4 linked regions of the Arabidopsis thaliana genome follow. The protein of the gene in region 1 interacts with the protein of each later gene in a pairwise test. Each region holds a gene or a part of one and is shown in the gene's direction. Other genes may lie near its edges.

Region 1 (5,829 bases):
AATGAAACGCCTTCGCCACCCTAACATTGTTCTCTTCATGGGTGCGGTCACTCAACCTCCAAATTTGTCAATAGTGACAGAATATTTGTCAAGGTACAATTACTTGGATTTGGAAGGTTTGATGTACTGAGTGTAGAATTTTGGCCTATAATGACTCTAATACCATGATTTCTTTCAAACAGAGGTAGTTTATACAGACTTTTGCATAAAAGTGGAGCAAGGGAGCAATTAGATGAGAGACGTCGCCTGAGTATGGCTTATGATGTGGTATGTTTAATTCCTTATGTTACATGTATGGGTGATTACTTCCTGATCTTGGTGTTTCTTCACATGGAACTTTCTTTCCAATTCTCTGTCACAGGCTAAGGGAATGAATTATCTTCACAATCGCAATCCTCCAATTGTGCATAGAGATCTAAAATCTCCAAACTTATTGGTTGACAAAAAATATACAGTCAAGGTTTGAATCTAAATTAGAAATTGTTGTGTCCAATGTTTTGATTTTGATATTTTATTCCTCTTGTGAGACAAGCTTATATATAAATTATGATTTTTAATTCTAAATTGGTTTGGAGACATTACAAAAAGGCGTTAATCTGCTGAAACTTAAAAGATACAGCAGCCTCAAGCTGTCGTCTTAAAAACAATCAGAACATTATTATTCTAACTCCTCAATTTGTCTTGAAATTTCAGGTTTGTGATTTTGGTCTCTCGCGATTGAAGGCCAGCACGTTTCTTTCCTCGAAGTCAGCAGCTGGAACCGTAAGTTCAGTTTGTTTGAAACTAAAACACGCTGAACAACGTAACTTTCTTCTAGGTCCTATTTCCAATGGAAGCTAAATAATTACTGACTTTGATATATCAGCCCGAGTGGATGGCACCAGAAGTCCTGCGAGATGAGCCGTCTAATGAAAAGTCAGATGTGTACAGCTTCGGGGTCATCTTGTGGGAGCTTGCTACATTGCAACAACCATGGGGTAACTTAAATCCGGCTCAGGTACTTTCCACTCTAAACATCTCAAATAATAATGATATTATTTTGCATTTGGAAGTCCCTCACTCTACATTTCATAACATGCTATATATGATCATACAAAAAAATGTTCCATAGGTTGTAGCTGCGGTTGGTTTCAAGTGTAAACGGCTGGAGATCCCGCGTAATCTGAATCCTCAGGTTGCAGCCATAATCGAGGGTTGTTGGACCAAGTACGTTAAGATTTTCTATCTCTTTTTTGAATTCTTCTTGAATAGACTTCATGTTTATGTATGTGTTTCATTACCAGTGAGCCATGGAAGCGTCCATCATTTGCAACTATAATGGACTTGCTAAGACCATTGATCAAATCAGCGGTTCCTCCGCCCAACCGCTCGGATTTGTAAAATACCCCCGGTCCATTCAAAAGTTGTTATAATCATGATATGCACATATACTCTCAGCATTCTTTTGCTGCCCAGGAGGGAGACACTAGTTAAGATATAGCTTTAAAGGTACATTCCTCATGAGCTATCAATCATATCCTACAGAATCCCATGGTTTTTATACATGTATTATTTTTGCGATCTTTGTCTGCTGTTTTGTTCCCTTTTTAATGTTGCAGATTGTTAAAATGTACATGACTATTGTCACAGGGAGGAAAAAAAAATGTAGTAATGGAAACAATGTGAGGGATATAATCTATCTATCTAGTCCCAAAGGGTAAGCAATATTTTGTTGTTATGTCTTTGTAGCAATGCACTGAAAGCTATATTTAATTACATTGCTGTACATTTATACCGCTAAATTAGTTACTAAGCGAAGGTAAAAAAGAGCAGCTGGTAAATGCTGTCAAAGGGTTTTGCAAACTCAATATGATTCATTGGATTTACATTTGTTCACTGTGCGATTAGTCTGGACTATAAACCAACAGAAATGAAATAAGACTGTAACTTTCGGAGACTCTAATACAGATGAATATAATCCCAAATCGTTAAAAACGCATTGGGACTGAAAATATCTAGATACATAGTCAACTATTTTTGCCTTCGCGTCTAAGTAAGTTCCCACACTTGAAAACGACTTTACCTGTCTTCCGAATTAATCGTTTGATGGATCGGTAACCAATAGGATTGCGTAAATCAAAATTATACAATATTAAATTCTGAAAAAGGAAACACGAAAAGCGAATCAGTGATTTGTGAGGGCCCAGTTCCAAATTAGAAAGCTGACCTGGCAAACGCGCTAAATCACTCCTCCTTTCAAAAATCTCAAGATGACGTGGGACCCACCATCGTCACCACTTTCTCTCCTTCACCAAATCACAGAGAGAGAGAGCTAAGTGAAGCTGCAAGGAAACAACTTTCAATTTCAATGTCGGTTGTACAATTATTTGTCACTAAAGTTTCCAAATTTCTTCTAAACTGATGAATCAATGGAACATGATGACGAAAAAGATAAATCCACGGTGGCGGGAACTGACCCACCCATTTCCACCGCCTCTCTATTCCCCAGATTTTTTTCAATTATCTGACTACAGTTTGTCGGTTACTTCCTTCCCTAAACCTTTATAAACCATTAAACCTCTCATCCTTCTTCTCTTAAACCCCCTAATTATCACACACACCCCAATTTCTCACTCTCTCTCTCACTAAAACCCGTAAATTTTCTACTATATCAAATGAGCCCAAAAAAAGATGCTGTTTCTAAACCAACTCCAATTTCAGTACCCGTTTCGAGACGATCCGATATACCCGGGTCTCTCTACGTCGACACTGACATGGGTTTCTCTGGGTCACCACTTCCCATGCCACTAGACATCTTACAAGGGAATCCAATTCCACCTTTTTTATCCAAGACTTTTGATTTGGTTGATGACCCGACTCTTGACCCGGTCATCTCTTGGGGACTGACCGGAGCTAGCTTCGTAGTTTGGGATCCTCTAGAGTTTGCCAGAATCATACTTCCAAGGAATTTCAAACACAACAATTTCTCCAGCTTCGTCAGACAGCTTAACACTTATGTAATCATCTCTCTTGCTCTGTTTCTGTTTTCTAGATAGACTCATTCTTCTTCTTCTTCTTCTTCTTTCAGTTTTGTTTTGTTTTTATGTTTCTGTAATCTTTTTGATGACCAAAACCATTTTGTATAGATTCTTGAAACTCGTTTTTTGATAACTTGTAAAAAATTACCTGTAATTTTCTTTTCTTTTTGGGATTTGTTTAATCTCTCTATCATGTAACACTGAGTTTTGTATCTATGAAATTTTGGCCTCGATTGGATCTTATAATAACTTCTCATCTGAAATAAGCTTGTAATCTTGTATACTTATGGTTTCGTTTGAATGGAGAATTTTGGTTTATGAAGTTTTGTTATTTTCTCACAATGTTAACTTCAGTCTGGTTTAAGACATCATTACTCACATGTTCTTCACACTTCAGAGGTAGAATCTTTCTAATATCTTGAGATATTTGGTCTTGTCTTGATGTAAATGTGTTTACTTACTTTATCTTGAGCTTGTTTGAGTTGTTTTTTTGGGGTTGGAATGTTTCCAGGGATTTCGAAAGATTGATACTGACAAGTGGGAATTCGCTAACGAGGCTTTCCTTAGAGGCAAGAAGCATCTTCTGAAGAACATTCATCGTCGTCGATCACCACAATCCAACCAAACTTGCTGCAGTAGCACTAGCCAAAGCCAAGGGTCACCTACTGAGGTTGGAGGAGAGATTGAGAAGCTGAGGAAAGAGCGGCGTGCATTGATGGAGGAAATGGTTGAGCTTCAGCAGCAAAGCAGAGGCACAGCTCGACATGTGGACACTGTAAACCAGAGGCTGAAAGCTGCAGAGCAACGTCAGAAGCAATTGCTCTCTTTCTTGGCTAAGTTGTTTCAGAACCGGGGTTTCTTGGAACGCCTGAAGAACTTCAAAGGAAAAGAAAAAGGAGGAGCTCTTGGATTGGAAAAGGCGAGAAAGAAGTTCATCAAGCACCACCAGCAGCCTCAAGATTCTCCAACAGGAGGGGAGGTGGTGAAGTATGAAGCTGATGATTGGGAGAGATTGCTAATGTATGACGAAGAGACTGAGAACACCAAGGGTTTAGGAGGGATGACTTCAAGCGATCCAAAAGGCAAGAACTTGATGTATCCATCAGAAGAAGAGATGAGCAAACCAGATTACTTGATGTCCTTCCCATCTCCTGAAGGACTTATTAAACAAGAAGAGACGACATGGAGCATGGGTTTCGATACTACAATACCGAGTTTCAGCAACACCGATGCATGGGGAAACACAATGGACTATAATGATGTCTCAGAGTTTGGTTTTGCTGCAGAAACAACAAGTGATGGTTTGCCTGATGTCTGCTGGGAACAATTTGCTGCAGGAATCACAGAGACTGGATTCAACTGGCCAACTGGTGATGATGATGATAATACGCCAATGAATGATCCTTAGGATCTTTTCATATATAGTTTAGACCAAAAACCCGTTTCTTATCGGGTGAACTATTAATTCATTATTCATTTTGAATGCACTCTTTATACATATATATAATATTGATGAGTTTGATTGTTCCTTTCTTATTCACTTAATCCAGGGTCTAATAACATTGATTATGAAGGATATATAACACAAAATTATGCTTTTATCTGCTTGAGTAATTAAAATTTTTGCAGGTCTGAAGTGGAACAATGTTTCTTTAAAAGGATTTTTCTCTCTGAAGCTGTCTGGTTTAATCATTTATGTCCCAGGTACGAATGCAAAAGCTCTTTCCTCTCTCTCTCTGTCTTCTTCTTCTTCTTCTTCTTCTTCTTCTTCTTCTTCTTCTTCTTCTTCTTCTTCTTCTTCTTCTTCTTCTTCTTCTTCTTCTTCTTCTTCTTCTTCTTCTTCTTCTTCTTCTTCTTCTTCTTCTTCTTCTTCTTCTTCTTCTTCTTCTTCTTCTTCTTCTTCTTCTTCTTCTTCTTCTTCTTCTCCTTTGCTTGTCTGTTGGGGTATGTTTTGTGTCTTGATTGAAGGAATTTGTACCGGTTTATAACAGATTTATAAACTAATTACAAATTCAATAGCCAGTATTCATGTAATCTCGTCTCACGTTTAGCTAACCTGACGATTACACATAGAAGAAACGGTAGGAAACGAAGAAAAATGATGAAACCAAAAGATTTTTTTTAAAAAAAGAAAAACCTAAATGCAGGAAACGAAGCGCAGAGAACGAAGAAGAAGAAGAAGGAAGATAGGAGATTTTTACCCCAGAACTCCATTGTCTTGAGAGGTACTGTGACCTGAAGGAGACGATGCGTCAAAGAAGAAAGTTCTCGAAGAAGATGATAGCGGTTTCGTCTCTCGAGCGCAGTTTTTACTTTTTAGGGCGTGAACTTGCCGTGAAGTGAAGGCTATTAATCGGACCAAGGGATTTTAGGGCATGTCCCTGTCATTTAAATCTATGCAAATCGGTTATATTCATACTTTGAAATTTTACTATCAAAAAGTTGATATGGCCGAGTTGGTCTAAGGCGCCAGATTAAGGTTCTGGTCCGAAAGGGCGTGGGTTCAAATCCCACTGTCAACATTAATTTTTTCTTACTTGGGCTTATTTAGTTTCGGCCCATCGAATATAGATTGTTGCAAGTGAATCTAGCAGGCCATTATAATGAAATTAAAAATTAACAGTGGGCTTTAAATGCCCATTTTGATATAAAATATATGATGACTGCAAAAATATTCGAAATCAGAAAATTAAGACCAAATGAACATATTCAGTGAATAGTCTGTTAGATGCCATATAGTCAAATCTTAAACTTACTAAGATATTCATGTGATTTGTTTGGTATGGATCGATCCTTTTAATACCTTTTTCTC
Region 2 (4,884 bases), on another chromosome or scaffold:
ATTCTGACAAAAACTTATCTCAAAACAGGAACCTGGGGATACAACACTGAGAAAGAGAGAGCTGAAGCAGCAGGCATTCCCAGGATTCAGGTTATTGAGCTCTCCACGTTTAGCAATAAGCTTAAATGAGTGCATATACTCATTGGAAAAGAAACAAAGCTTTCCTCTTTATTGTATTCTACGGCATTCAACGGAAACTAAAAACCAAACATGTTTAGGTAAGATTCAGTAAAAGAGTTGAACTTTCAGTACTACCCATTATAGAAGCTTTTCTGTGACCTATAATTCATCCTTAGTAAGATCATTCTTGTTACCATCACCATCTTCGTGATCTTTCCTTTGCTCAGCTTGAAATTTGTCAAAGACATCTTCAAATGGAGGATCTCCAGGTCTTCTAAACTCTTGCTTCCCTATCTTGACCTCGTAAGCTTCTTCTTGGCTCAGCACGAATTCCCTTAGCTAATTGAAAGATATGATTGTGATGTTAGATTTTGACTAATCCACTAAACAAAGTTTTCAGCATTGTGTGTTTTCTGTGGCTTTTACCTCAGTCACAAGCTTCCCATTTTGCATATTGAACATCACTGTGCTTCGATCTACAGCCATGAATCTTACTCCTATCCCTCCTGTTCTTAAAACTTTTGTCCATTTCATAGCAATATCAATCACCACATCCTGATTGAAACATATAAACAGATCACTATTCAATCCCCTGAAGCAACTGGACCCATATCGAATTCAGAGAATTTTGAACAGTAACTGAAACTATAACTTAAGGACCCCAAATTCACGATTCGATTTGGATTTTAGTTTACCTTGGTACGGGGGACGCCTAACCGGAGCTTGACGAAACCGACGACGGTTCCAAAAGTCCGTTTAGCCATTTCCTCTTGGATCTGATCGAATCCCATATTGGTGAAATCCGGAGGCGGATCAAATTCCGGGGTCGTTGCTTTCTTCCCCCACTCTTTCCATGACTCGTCTTCTTCATTGTCTTCAACGTCGTCTAGGTCATCGGAGATCTCGATCCGTCGCTTCGTTGCTTCGGCGATCCGGACAAATCCGTGAAAATTCATAAAAAGAAGGAGGCCAACAAGTAGAATCAGCGAAGAAGAACGAACGATCTTCTCCATCGTTTAACAAATTTATTCAGGAATCAGAAACAGAGGAAGAGAGACTGCATCGGCAACGGCATTTCTATATCAGTAAAGCTTCTACAAACTCGCACACAAGTCACAAAACCATAATAATGTGACTTTTTACTTGTTTCGGGAAAAAAAACTATTAACGACATAAACTGAACCTGCTGGTTCAAAACTGTTCGCCGTTTTTCTATCTTAAAATAGAACTGCGTGCCAACTATTGACGTAAAGATGGCAAGCATATCAAGGCTGAAAGATGAAAACGACACGAGGTTGCACCGTAAATAAAACAAGGGTAATTGTATGATTCTCTCTAATCTACTACTGCACTACAGAAGGTAAAACTAAAAGTCAAAATTTGTCTAATTTTAAATTCAAATTAATTAATCAAGTAAAACAAACATAAGTCTAATTTGATTTCCAAATTTGTTTTTTTTTTTCTTTTTTTGATTTCCAAATTTGTTTATAGTAGTATCATTTTAGTATTCTTATTACCCAATACGGAAACAAATATTTGAAATAAACATGGAAAAATTAAAAGTCATTCCATTTGGTTAACAAAAGGAACGTTTGGTAAATTCACACGTGTCTCATCGTCATTTGTGCAACTGACTTGTATAAGGAAGGGTACTTGTGGTAATAAAAGCGAAAACCGAGGGGTGGCCTCGTGAAACGCATTTTCCGTGTTCCAACTGTATCGAGGCGTGGGACCTACAATCAAAAATAAAATAAAATTAATGCCCCTTCCAAAAAAAAAAAGAAAGAGAAAAAAAAGAAAAAGGGAAGTAAGAAGCCAGCTAGGGTTTGACTGCGAGAAATTTCTGATCTGCGTGAATTTCTCAAAGAGAGGAATCGATCATCGATTCCGTGGATTTCGTTTCCCTCCCTTTTTATTTTTATTTTTCGAGAAGCCATCTCAAAGGATCTGAGTTTATACCGTTGCATCCCCCGCGACTTTCGTTTTCCGATTTCCCCCAAATTCGATGCAAATCTAAGAAGAGAGAGAAATAGAAAGGTGTGTGCGCTTCAACCGACTCAGTGTCTCTCTCTCTCTCTCTCTCTCTCTCTCTCTGTTGCTATTTGAGGTTTTTTCCTTTGCCTCGGGGGCTCTCGCTGTCCGAATTCTTTTGTAGGGATTTATTGGGTAGGGTTTTTCCACTTTTTTTTTGTCTTCTTCTACTAGCTTCGTTGTGCATTGGGTTTAATTGTTTCCAGTGTAGTGACTGTCAGATTCTTCGACCAATTGCATGCAATCTGGAGGCAGTGGCGGAGGGCCCGCTCGGAATCCGGCCATGGGTCCGGCTGGTCGGACTGCTTCCACGTCATCCGCTGCTTCTCCTTCTTCTTCCTCTTCATCTGTGCAGCAGCAGCAACAGCAACAGCAACAGCAGCAACAGCAACAGCAGCTGGCGTCTAGGCAGGTAAAGGATTCTCAAGTCTCTGTTTGGTTCGTTATGACTTAGGAGGGATAAAATGCTTGTTTGTAGTGGCTAATGTTTGTCTGTTAAACTTGCGGCTATTCAATTTTAGTGGGACTTGACTGTTTATCAATTCTGTGTAAAAGGAAAGTAACCAATATCTTTAAATTGAAGTTGTGTAATGGTAGCCACTTGGAGAACATGTTTTGTTCATTTCCACATATATATATAGTTGCTCTGAATTGTGGATTATTGTTCATTTGATTGTTACTAATTATTATCGTGCTTCTGATATGGCAGCAGCAGCAGCAGCACAGAAACTCAGATACAAACGAAAATATGTTTGCATATCAACCTGGTGGGGTTCAGGGAATGATGGGCGGTGGCAACTTTGCTTCGTCTCCGGGCTCTATGCAAATGCCTCAGCAGTCTAGAAATTTTTTTGAGTCTCCTCAGCAACAACAACAACAACAACAACAGGGTTCTTCTACCCAAGAGGGCCAGCAAAATTTTAATCCAATGCAGCAAGCGTATATTCAGTTTGCTATGCAGGCTCAGCATCAAAAAGCACAGCAGCAAGCTAGGATGGGAATGGTGGGTTCATCAAGTGTGGGAAAGGATCAAGATGCACGAATGGGAATGTTGAATATGCAAGACTTGAATCCGTCTAGTCAGCCCCAGGCCTCATCATCGAAGCCATCGGGCGATCAGTTTGCTCGCGGTGAAAGGCAGACTGAATCAAGTTCTCAGCAAAGGAACGAAACAAAATCTCATCCTCAGCAGCAGGTGGGTACCGGACAACTAATGCCTGGAAATATGATAAGGCCAATGCAAGCACCACAGGCTCAGCAGCTTGTCAATAACATGGGAAACAACCAACTCGCATTTGCACAACAGTGGCAGGCAATGCAGGCATGGGCGCGTGAGCGTAATATCGATCTCTCACATCCTGCCAACGCCAGCCAAATGGCACACATCCTTCAGGCAAGAATGGCTGCTCAACAGAAAGCTGGTGAAGGCAATGTGGCCTCACAGTCACCATCTATTCCAATCTCTAGCCAGCCGGCTTCATCTTCGGTTGTTCCAGGTGAGAATTCACCACATGCCAACTCTGCTAGTGATATCTCTGGGCAGTCAGGATCAGCGAAGGCCAGACATGCATTATCTACTGGCTCATTTGCCTCGACTTCCAGTCCCAGAATGGTCAATCCTGCTATGAATCCCTTCTCCGGCCAAGGGAGAGAGAATCCAATGTATCCTCGACATTTAGTTCAGCCTACAAATGGGATGCCCTCAGGAAATCCCCTGCAGACTTCTGCAAATGAGACTCCTGTTTTGGATCAGAATGCATCTACAAAAAAAAGTTTAGGTCCTGCTGAACATTTGCAAATGCAGCAGCCTAGGCAACTGAATACACCGACTCCAAATTTAGTAGCGCCATCTGATACTGGTCCACTCAGTAACTCGTCCCTTCAGAGTGGACAGGGGACCCAACAAGCACAGCAGCGATCAGGATTTACCAAACAGCAACTCCATGTTCTCAAAGCCCAGATACTGGCATTTAGGCGTTTGAAGGTTTTCAGCTCTGACTTTTTCCTTATGTCTTCATTTTTATTGTATGTTTTGCTGGAGATGTATGCCTATAAATAACGTGTCTGCAAGCCAGGTTGAATGTTTTTAATTGCTTTTTTTTGACAGAAAGGGGAAGGTTCTTTGCCTCCGGAGCTTCTTCAAGCTATTTCTCCACCACCGCTTGAACTACAGACGCAGAGGCAAATATCTCCTGCCATAGGGAAAGTTCAGGATAGATCTTCAGACAAAACTGGAGAAGACCAAGCAAGGTCGCTAGAGTGTGGCAAGGAGTCTCAGGCTGCTGCTTCTTCAAATGGACCAATTTTTTCTAAAGAGGAAGATAATGTTGGAGATACAGAAGTAGCTTTGACGACAGGCCACAGCCAATTATTTCAAAACCTGGGAAAAGAAGCTACTTCTACTGACGTGGCTACGAAAGAGGAGCAACAGACTGATGTATTCCCTGTTAAGTCAGACCAAGGAGCAGATTCTAGTACTCAAAAGAATCCTAGAAGTGATTCTACAGCTGATAAGGGAAAGGCTGTTGCATCTGATGGAAGCCAATCTAAGGTTCCTCCACAAGCAAACTCTCCCCAGCCGCCCAAGGATACAGCCTCTGCCAGGAAATATTATGGACCGTTGTTTGATTTTCCCTTTTTCACTCGAAAACTTGACTCTTATGGGTCTGCAACAGCCAATGCCAATAACAATCTCACATTAGCATATGATATTAAAGATCTGATTTGTGAAGA
Region 3 (4,616 bases), on another chromosome or scaffold:
TTTTTAAAGAGTCATGGAGACAATAGTGAGTAGTTGACAAGGAATCTGAGTCTCTCCTTATTAAATGTTAGGCATATACTGTTTGTATATAAAAGTTAATTAGCCATCCATTTTGACCTTCTCGAACTAAAGGAAGCCTTTTCACCTAGCCATAGAATATACATATACAATACCATTTGTAGTTAAATTTAATAACTATCCTATTTATATGAGTTTTTAAAAAAAAAAAAAAAAGAGTAAAGGTAAGATATCTGTTTGGCAACGAACTAAGAAAATATATTTTAGAGGGATGAATTTTGTTGACCAACCTGAATTGTGTCAATCCGACCACCACATCATGTCGTCATCCCGATATTGACCGCGTTTTGTGGTTTTCGTGAGAAGTGTTTTCTCAGTCTCTGATTTAAAATTGCGATTAGTGAGTTGTTTTTCAGGTTTACCACACGAGTTTCGGCGCGACAAGCGGTTCCGTTAGAAGAGTTTATGTTCTTGACATTTGATATTTTGTATGACAAATTAGTACTTATTACATTTTGACAAAGAAAAATACACTCTATTGAAACAGTCTAATTGCATATTAACAACTAAAACAGTCTTGTTGCCAATTTTGGAATTTTGAACAATTTTTGAAAGTAATGAAAAGTCATTCACGTGTCTCCCATCTCAAACTTAACACGTTATATTAGCAAAAGTAAACTGATCTTAATCAATATCGACGTTGTACCTTAATTTCATGGACCAAGTTATTGTCTAAAACTTAAAATAGCGGCCATTTCGACGGAAAAAAGTAGCAATAAACTTTGGTTTTCTCGTTAATAATTAAAGTTATATCAGAAACATATTTGGAATTGATCATAATCTTAATTAAGCCGAGAGAGTGTAATAGGTTTTGTTTTGTTTTTTGATAAGAGTGTAATAGGGTTTCTGATAGGTATCACATTACACATGTACCTTACTGGTCTCATATCCCGTGGTCAAGCCGGCAAAACAAGAGAAAGGAAAGTTCCGCTTTTACATGTGATTACTACGTACGTACCATTACCTATATTACAAAGTAAATTACTTGTCTTCTACGTTGATGGAGAATAGTGGATCATTGTACCCCCTAAATTACAAATTTAAGACTAATTTCTATTTGATTAAGAATAGTGAATAAGACTTGTATATTTGATTCTTCAATTACAATAAGTATTTTAGCACACAATTAAATATGAACTACTTAAACACATAATTAAATCAAAAACATTTGAATTAGACCACTTGATATTATGATGATGATGATGATTATGAAGGTATGTGTGATATGGTGGGTACATACTACATATATGTCTCGGCCAATCTCTTTTGTTGTTGTTGTTGTTGTTGTTGTTGTTGTTGTTGTTGTTGTTGTTGTTGTTGTAACATGTTGCATTATCTTGGAGGAATTTAGAATGAATATTGGGATCTCCATGAGATGTTACCTATTTAAAACTCAAGTGTCAAGTCAGTAGATTTGAGGTTGAAGCTATAGTTGACCATTTTTCTTCTTACAAAGGTTGAGATGACAAAAAAAAAAAAGAAAAAGAAGTTGAAGCTACCATAAGTTAAAAAGATAATTTTTTAAAAATGAAAATAAATACAGACAATTAACAATTTAATTACATCAGAACAAAAATAAAATGTAGGCCTTGGCCTTTTAGAATAATGGGCCTTTAACATTGGTAACTAGAATAACTAGATTTTTGTCTCATCAACAACTTAGAAAAAACTGATGTGATATTATTGTTATCCACACACTCTCTGTTTCACTGATACTACCCGCCATCGGAAAACCACCATGTCAGCCTCCGTCGCCGTCGTGTCGGGTTTTCTCCGTATCCCGTCAATTCAAAAGTCTCAAAACCCTTCCTTTCTCTTTTCTCGACCCAAGAAATCTTTGGTGAGACCCATTTCAGCTTCAAGCTCAGAGTTGCCGGAAAATGTTCGGAATTTCTGGAAATGGCTCAGAGACCAAGGAGTCGTATCCGGGAAGTCTGTGGCAGAACCTGCGGTGGTACCGGAAGGTTTGGGACTTGTAGCCAGGCGTGATATTGGAAGAAACGAGGTCGTATTGGAGATTCCCAAGCGATTGTGGATAAACCCAGAGACAGTGACTGCTTCCAAGATTGGACCTTTATGCGGCGGATTAAAGCCGTGGGTTTCAGTAGCTCTGTTTTTGATCAGAGAGAAGTATGAAGAAGAGTCTTCATGGAGAGTTTATCTTGATATGCTTCCTCAATCTACTGATTCTACTGTCTTCTGGTGGGTTTTGTCCTTCTCTGATCATCAATTGTATCTCTGATCAACACTAAGCTGATGAGATGTCTTCTTCGTGAAATGTCTCCAGTACAGGTCAGAAGAGGAGCTTGCTGAGCTTAAAGGTCCATTTTCTTACCCTTTTCTTTGAAAAGTCTGATCATTGTTTAGATTCATACCAATTGGTCTGAGTAGCAGTAGCTGATGATGATGTACATTATTAACTTTGTGGTTACTGTTGTTTGGCTCAGGGACTCAACTGTTGAGCACCACATTGGGTGTGAAAGAGTATGTGGAGAATGAATTCTTGAAACTGGAACAAGAGATATTACTGCCTAACAAAGATCTCTTCTCATCCCGCATAACACTTGATGACTTCATATGGGCGTTTGGGATCCTCAAGTCGAGGGCTTTTTCTCGTCTCCGTGGCCAAAACCTTGTCTTGATCCCTCTTGCAGACTTGGCAAGCTATCTTCTTGTTTCAGATATTGTCTAGTGAAAACTTCAGAAAATAATCTTCATTCATTGATGCTTGGCTCAGCAGAGAATCTCTGACTTCAATGTTTGAATTTGAACAGATAAACCATAACCCCGCGATAAAGACAGAAGATTATGCATACGAGATCAAAGGAGCCGGCCTTTTCTCTAGAGATCTCTTATTTTCCTTGAAGTCACCTGTTTATGTTAAAGCAGGTGAGCAGGTATGCTCCAAACACTGTCTACTTAGTTTTCTCCCTCAAGAGTGTAAGAACAAGCCCTTTAATACTGTTTGGATGATCTCTTCCATAGGTATACATTCAGTACGATCTGAACAAAAGCAATGCAGAACTTGCTCTCGACTATGGTTTTGTGGAATCAAACCCTAAACGGAACTCATATACTTTAACAATAGAGATACCAGAATCAGACCCATTCTTTGGGGATAAGTTGGATATTGCTGAGAGTAACAAGATGGGTGAGACCGGATACTTTGACATAGTAGACGGCCAGACTCTTCCCGCTGGTATGCTTCAGTACCTTCGGCTTGTGGCTCTTGGCGGTCCAGATGCTTTCTTATTAGAATCTATCTTCAATAACACCATATGGGGTCATCTTGAATTGCCTGTAAGTCGTACAAACGAGGAACTCATATGCCGTGTTGTCAGAGATGCCTGCAAATCTGCTCTGTCTGGTTTTGATACGACCATTGAAGAGGTATATATGTTCGAGCTCTTACTTGTACTGTCTTTGCAGCTTAACACTCATTTCTTACTCGTCTTCATCGTCTGTTGTAGGATGAGAAGCTTCTGGACAAAGGAAAGCTTGAGCCTAGGTTGGAAATGGCTCTCAAGATAAGGATTGGTGAGAAGAGAGTGCTTCAGCAAATCGACCAAATCTTCAAGGATAGAGAGCTTGAACTTGACATTTTAGAGTATTACCAAGAGAGAAGGCTCAAAGATCTTGGGTTGGTTGGCGAACAAGGGGATATTATCTTCTGGGAAACCAAGTGAGAATTAGCTTAGCTTGTATAGCTTATCCTGCAGAACAAACTCAAGGCTAGAAAGAAAATCTTTACTGGTTTGGTCTCAGACCACATAGACTTGAATCAACCTCAAGACATCAGAGTTGAGAGACCACAATTTGTATGTTAGGCTATTGCCAAAAGCAGGCTTTTTGAAATTCTATAAGATGAGACATAATCTTCTTTTTAGTTACATCTTAATTTACGTAAAACTAAATAAATCAAGATCAGCAACTATGCAGGAAAATTGAAAAAAATTACAAACAAAAATGGAAAAACTCAGGGAAGGAACTATGCAGCTCCCGTTCAAGTGTTTGACATGCCGTCCTCTTGCGGAAGCAATGAGATATAATATGCTAAAAACATGACTTCAATGTGTTAAATTTCTATGGCCAAACAGGTCGTGGCAATTTGTACCTTCACAAAGACATTCTTGAGGATTTGCGTAGAAGTAATCTTCCTCCTTAGGTTTGTCAGAGATTACTCTTCGATGAGTAGGTGCTCCTGCTCGTCTCTCATGGGCTTCCTTGACTGCTACTGCAAACTGATCCCACGTGAGGGTCTTGTTGTGATGTAAGTCTAGTAGCTCCACGAGTCTCTTACGGTCAAGCAGGATTGTCTTCTTATATCCAAGGTATCTGCAAATTCAAATCAGATATAGACCAATAATGGTTATATAGAATCACAGGTTTGGTTATTCTTAACACCACCTTTTTAGTTGTCATGAAATTGAATGCATTCGACACCACAAATAATTTACCTACGATGACCTTCCACGACTTTTGCCATGTTTCCATCATACGTAGGAATAAAAGTGTTGCTGGCCACAGATACCATGAAA
Region 4 (5,208 bases), on another chromosome or scaffold:
TCTCCCTCTGTAAATTGTCAACCTTTATTCTCTCGCATTTCTAGTTCATCGAATTTTTGTAGCTCAGCCTGGTCAAAATTGATTCTTTCGTCTACTTTCTAAGGTTTTCTATTCCCAATTCTTTTTGTAGCTCCGATGTTTCTGTCTACAGACAGAAGATTAAGCCTTTTGAGTTTGTCTATTGTTCTGATGAAGAGTTTCGCATGGTTCTTGTTATAGGTAATGAAAAGTATGCTCATTTGAAGAAGCTTGATAAAGCTGGTGACAAACTCAAGCTCTTCAAGGCTGATTTGCTCAACTACGGCTCTCTTCAATCTGCTATTGCTGGCTGCAGCGGCGTCTTCCATGTCGCTTGCCCTGTTCCATCTGCTTCAGTCCCTAATCCTGAGGTGAGGATTTCATTTTTACAATCTCATTGGTGGCTATATGCATTGTCTCACTATGGTTTCACTGGTTTTGCAGGTAGATTTGATCGCACCTGCAGTGGATGGTACGCTGAATGTGCTTAAGGCATGCGTTGAAGCAAAAGTTAAGCGTGTTGTGTATGTTTCCTCTGTATCTGCAGTTGCTATGAACCCTATGTGGTCAAAGAGTCAAGTGTTAGATGAGACCGCTTGGTCTGACCAAGATTATTGCAAAAAAACTGAGGTTAATAATGCATCTTGAATCCCTCATCTCACTTTTTTTTCTTCTTTTAAATCTGACTTTCGTCCCTCTGGCAGAATTGGTATTCTTTGTCAAAGACACGAGCAGAAAGTGAAGCTTTCGAATTTGCAAAACGAACCGGACTTGATCTCGTCAGTGTTTGCCCTACCCTTGTCTTGGGACCTGTATTGCAGCAGCACACAGTAAATGCTAGTAGCCTTGTTCTTCTCAAGCTTCTTAAAGGTATTATAAACAAGCCTCTCATTTCATCTGGGATTGTTAGAAGCAGCAACTTGGTATATGAGTTGGTATTGATTTTATACTTAAGTGTGGTGCAGAGGGTTATGAATCGCGTAATAACCAAGAACGGCATTTGGTAGATGTGCGTGATGTGGCTCAAGCTTTACTTTTGGTTTATGAGAAAGCAGAAGCTGAAGGAAGGTACATCTGCATAGGCCACACGGTTAGGGAACAAGAAGTCGCTGAGAAGCTGAAAAGTCTTTATCTAAATTACAACTACCCAAAGAGGTAAGCAAACAACAGCTGCACATCTCTCTACCCAATTTGAGTGAAAACCTTTAAACCTTAATAAGCTGTTTTTGTTACTTTCATCAGTAAACAGTGTCACTTACCTTTACATCAATGTCTCTGAAGTTTCTTTTAGACCTTACCTTTGATCTAAATTCTACTTATCCAATATCAGATACATCGAAGCGGATGGAAAAGTGAAGGTGAGTTCAGAGAAGTTGCAGAAGTTGGGTTGGACTTACCGGCCGTTGGAGGAAACACTTGTGGATTCTGTTGAGAGCTACCGCAAAGCTAAGCTTGTGGACTGAAAACTGGGAACGAATAGCATATGAGTGTTTTGGGTCCATGTGTTAAGTGTTCCTATCTGCACACGCTCTTTCATCTTTTACTCAAGAATAAGAGTTGTGCAACATATTTTCCATCATGAACTTCTGAGTTTTTGTTACTTTCTTAGACACCATTACTTTTATGACCAATCTACAATTACTCCTTCCATAACTATGTTCCAATATCTCTTTGATACGTTCCAATTTCTACCTACTTACAAAGGATAACTTCACCATTAATACATGAAATCAGTAACGCACAACTTCACCATTCGAATTAACCTCTAAGCCTAGCGTAGCAGATGCACTACATCTTGGCTGACCATGGGACTAAAAAAACATTCGCAATATTTAACAACTAAAGCCAGGTTAATGGACCTGTATTAGGGCCCAAACCAGGCCCGTTTAGATATCCGACTTTTTTTTTAACTTTGCCCATCTCGATAGCTAGATTCTCTTTTCCCTCTTCCTTCTCCGGCGAAGTTGCGTTAGTTAAACAGAGAGTCATGGCCATGAAAGCTCCCGATCCCGGCGGATCTGGGGAAATTCTCCCGAGCACTCCCTCTCTTTCCGAAACTACGTCTGGAGGCGCCGCAGCAGCTTCTAAGTCGGCTCAATTGCCGTCTTCTTCTTCCGATATCGATAATATTCACGTACCTAGCTACTCCAGTAAGTCTGCAACGCCGAGAAAACTTTGATTTATTCTACTTTCTTCACTGTTTCTTACGGATTTTGTACTTGTACCGTCTATTTAACCAATTAGGTTGGTTTTCATGGACCGACATTAACGATTGCGAGGTCCGGTCACTGCCGGAATTTTTCGATTCGAGATCTTCATCCAAAAACCCTAAGTTTTATCTCTACTTGAGGAACTCGATTATTAAGCAGTACAGAGACGACCATCCTCGGAAGATTAGTTTCACTGACGTTCGGAGAACTCTCGTCAGTGATGTTGTCTCTATTCGTCGCGTCTTTGATTTCCTCGATTCATGGGGACTTATCAACTATAATAGCTCCGCCTCTGCTAAGCCGCTCAAGTGGGAAGAAAAAGAGGCCGGAAAATCCGCCGGAGATGCTGCTTCTGAGCCAGCCACAACTGTCAAAGAAACTGCCAAGAGAAACTGCAATGGCTGCAAAGCAATTTGCAGCATAGCTTGTTTCGCCTGTGATAAGGTTTGATTTCATAATTTGTAGCCATAGTAATAATTTCATTCACTGAGTTTGTCACTTAGAATGATTATGTACATTTTTGTTTTCAGTATGACTTGACATTGTGTGCGAGGTGCTATGTTCGTAGTAATTATCGTGTTGGTATTAACTCCTCGGAGTTTAAACGAGTTGAGATTAGTGAGGAGTCAAAGCCAGAGTGGTCTGATAAGGAAATTCTGCTGCTGCTGGAAGCTGTTATGCACTATGGAGATGATTGGAAGAAGGTTGCATCGCATGTTATTGGTAGAACGGAGAAGGATTGTGTTTCTCAGTTTGTCAAGCTTCCGTTTGGGGAACAGTTTGTAAAAGAGTCTGACTCTGAGGATGGTTTAGAGATGTTTGATCAGATCAAGGACTCTGATATTCCTGAATCTGAAGGAATAGATAAAGACGGTTCTTCTCCCAACAAGCGGATCAAATTAACACCTCTTGCAGATGCAAGCAACCCAATAATGGCTCAGGTTAGAAAGACACTACAATTTGAGTAGTTGCGTTCTCTCTCTATGTTAATCTTATTTGTATAAGTCTTCAACATGCGTGGAAATGCTTTTACATTGTTAGGCTACTGAAGAATAGTCCAGTGTCTGCACTAGGCTGTTCCACGACTTGCGTTTTTGTCTCCTTAAAGAACCTAAATCTAGAATACCTTGTGGGGCTTACTTTGAAATCTAGTAATAACAAACCCTAGTTGACATATATAAGGCATTTAAGAATCAAATATGTGTTAGATAATTCTGTACTGTGTTATCACACCTCAATTGTTATGCTTCATTGGCTGTCTCTGAATAAGATTTATCCTATCATGTCCTCTTCAGGCTGCTTTTCTTTCAGCTTTGGCTGGCACAAATGTTGCAGAAGCAGCAGCTCGAGCGGCAGTGAGAGCTTTATCTGATGTAGACTACGAGGCTGACAAAAACGCCAGTAGAGACCCAAATCGACAAGGTATCAAAGACCAAGCTGTCTCTATTTGCAGTCCATTTCTGTCCTAAGCCAAACCCAATAGTGACAGTTTTGTTTTCCTGATACACAGATGCCAATGCTGCATCGAGTGGTGAAACCACTAGAAACGAATCTGAAAGAGCTTGGGCAGATGCAAAGTCTTTAATTGAGAAGGAAGAGCATGAGGTAGAAGGAGCAATCAAAGAGACTGTTGAAGTTGAGGTTAGTAACAATCTGCAACTTTCCATAGACTTTTTATTATATGGTTATACTCAATGATGATTTATGTTGGAACAAACAAAATTTGGGATTAACAGATGAAGAAGATCCGAGATAGGATTGTTCATTTCGAGAAATTGGATTTGGAAATGGAGAGAAGCCGGAAACAATTGGAGGAGGTGAGGAATCTGCTTTTCGTTGATCAATTAAACATTTTCTTCCACACCAGAAAAGCCCGGAAAACTGAAGATAGAATAGAGTGTTAGAACGCACTTAATTTGAAACTGTTATTTCTTATTTGATTCTTGTCTGGTTAAGAAGATGACTTGTATTGTAGTGTACTTGAGATGTGTTGGTAACAAAATGAGATGAGATCGAATTGGTATAAATAAGGCTGGGTTGGTATAAAAGTCAAAACCAAATGGCAACTGCGTCGAAGTATAATTTTTGTCTTTATCAGGCAATCACAAGTGGAAAAGTTTTAAAAATTAATTTTGCTCTTTTGGAAACAATAGAAAATGTCAGGGTTTTGGAGATATCCGATATAAAAGATAGATTTTGTTTTCACTAAATAGGTTAATCTTCAAATGTTGTTAAGTTACCGATGTTTTTTTTGTATCTCCGTAACATGATTACTCTCTTTGTTGCTAAAAGAGTGATGGTTTTTATATTAAGAAACAGTCATTAATTAATCATTTCTGTATTGTTTGTTATATTAAACATTTTCAATAACTATAAACCAATAGCAGTCTAACAAATTTCAATCATTTTATCTTGAACTTTACTAGTTCAGGTTTTTCAGACAAACTAAAAAAACATTGAATTTTCTGTTTTATCTCTAATTAATGTGTTATTTAATATCATATCATCAATTAATCAGCCAAAACAATAAGAATTTCTTTTGGAAAATCTTTCAAAAACATGCATTGAAAATATAAAACGATAACTAATTTAATACAAAATTTAATTTCTAAAACATAACTAATTTAGAAAGGAGTGAGTGATATTTAAAAAAAATAAAGAAAAAACGAAAATGTTTTTTTTGTGGGACAAGTTAAAAGTGGTAGAACATCAATTTATTAGAAACAAAGAGAGTGTATTTTTCTTTCTTCCCCATCGGGAAACCAAACCCAATTTATTTATATATTAAACTCGTACAATATAAAATCTTTTATATTTAACTAAAAATTCAGTAAATATCCATTCTTCGTAAATATTTAAACTCTATTTTTTCTTTTTAAAAAGATCAATTTACATCTTAAATTCAAAATATAAACCATAATATATTATGTACATATTAATACTGCATTCTAAACAATTTCCCAATATAAAAAATAAAAAT

The links.
Region 2: the proteins of HSFA3 (region 1) and BRM interact in a two-hybrid assay, tested with the Arabidopsis thaliana proteins (one large-scale study listed by BioGRID).
Region 3: the proteins of HSFA3 (region 1) and LSMT-L interact in a two-hybrid assay, tested with the Arabidopsis thaliana proteins (one large-scale study listed by BioGRID).
Region 4: the proteins of HSFA3 (region 1) and SWI3B interact in a two-hybrid assay, tested with the Arabidopsis thaliana proteins (one large-scale study listed by BioGRID).

The regions. Positions count from the first base shown.
Region 1 is NC_003076.8:970,509-976,337, reverse strand, and holds HSFA3 (heat shock transcription factor A3), read left to right. Parts: upstream 1-2,011; 5' UTR 2,012-2,654; coding exon 2,655-2,996; intron 2,997-3,528; coding exon 3,529-4,425; 3' UTR 4,426-4,710; coding exon of another isoform or gene 4,711-4,943; intron 4,944-5,164; 3' UTR 5,165-5,196; downstream 5,197-5,829. Other genes in the region: CTR1 (Protein kinase superfamily protein), read left to right, coding at 1-93, 183-267, 362-460, 694-762, 866-997, 1,112-1,206, 1,284-1,380; AT5G03710 (replication factor C large subunit), read right to left, coding at 4,711-4,943, 5,219-5,231. UniProt on the Arabidopsis thaliana protein: Transcriptional activator that specifically binds DNA sequence 5'-AGAAnnTTCT-3' known as heat shock promoter elements (HSE). Involved in heat stress response. Activated by DREB2A under heat stress.
Region 2 is NC_003071.7:18,920,915-18,925,798, forward strand, and holds the start of BRM (transcription regulatory protein SNF2), read left to right. Parts: upstream 1-1,618; 5' UTR 1,619-2,286; intron 2,287-2,362; 5' UTR 2,363-2,389; coding exon 2,390-2,563; intron 2,564-2,860; coding exon 2,861-4,135; intron 4,136-4,258; coding exon 4,259-4,884. Other genes in the region: AT2G45990 (ribosomal RNA small subunit methyltransferase G), read left to right, coding at 29-129; AT2G46000 (LDL receptor wingless signaling/trafficking chaperone), read right to left, coding at 280-459, 547-675, 816-1,133. UniProt on the Arabidopsis thaliana protein: ATPase subunit of a multiprotein complex equivalent of the SWI/SNF complex that acts by remodeling the chromatin by catalyzing an ATP-dependent alteration in the structure of nucleosomal DNA.
Region 3 is NC_003070.9:4,804,641-4,809,256, reverse strand, and holds LSMT-L (Rubisco methyltransferase family protein), read left to right. Parts: upstream 1-1,739; 5' UTR 1,740-1,816; coding exon 1,817-2,280; intron 2,281-2,370; coding exon 2,371-2,399; intron 2,400-2,525; coding exon 2,526-2,737; intron 2,738-2,852; coding exon 2,853-2,975; intron 2,976-3,063; coding exon 3,064-3,468; exon of another isoform or gene 3,469-3,548; coding exon 3,549-3,764; 3' UTR 3,765-3,951; downstream 3,952-4,616. Other genes in the region: AT1G14020 (O-fucosyltransferase family protein), read right to left, coding at 4,146-4,413, 4,536-4,616. UniProt on the Arabidopsis thaliana protein: Protein-lysine methyltransferase methylating chloroplastic fructose 1,6-bisphosphate aldolases. Can also use with low efficiency gamma-tocopherol methyltransferase as substrate, but not a cytosolic aldolase.
Region 4 is NC_003071.7:14,227,018-14,232,225, forward strand, and holds SWI3B (switch subunit 3), read left to right. Parts: upstream 1-1,954; 5' UTR 1,955-2,005; coding exon 2,006-2,168; intron 2,169-2,262; coding exon 2,263-2,672; intron 2,673-2,758; coding exon 2,759-3,169; intron 3,170-3,523; coding exon 3,524-3,650; intron 3,651-3,738; coding exon 3,739-3,869; intron 3,870-3,964; coding exon 3,965-4,132; 3' UTR 4,133-4,391; downstream 4,392-5,208. Other genes in the region: CRL2 (NAD(P)-binding Rossmann-fold superfamily protein), read left to right, coding at 220-389, 463-648, 723-888, 984-1,173, 1,349-1,481. UniProt on the Arabidopsis thaliana protein: Component of a multiprotein complex equivalent of the SWI/SNF complex, an ATP-dependent chromatin-remodeling complex, which is required for the positive and negative regulation of gene expression of a large number of genes.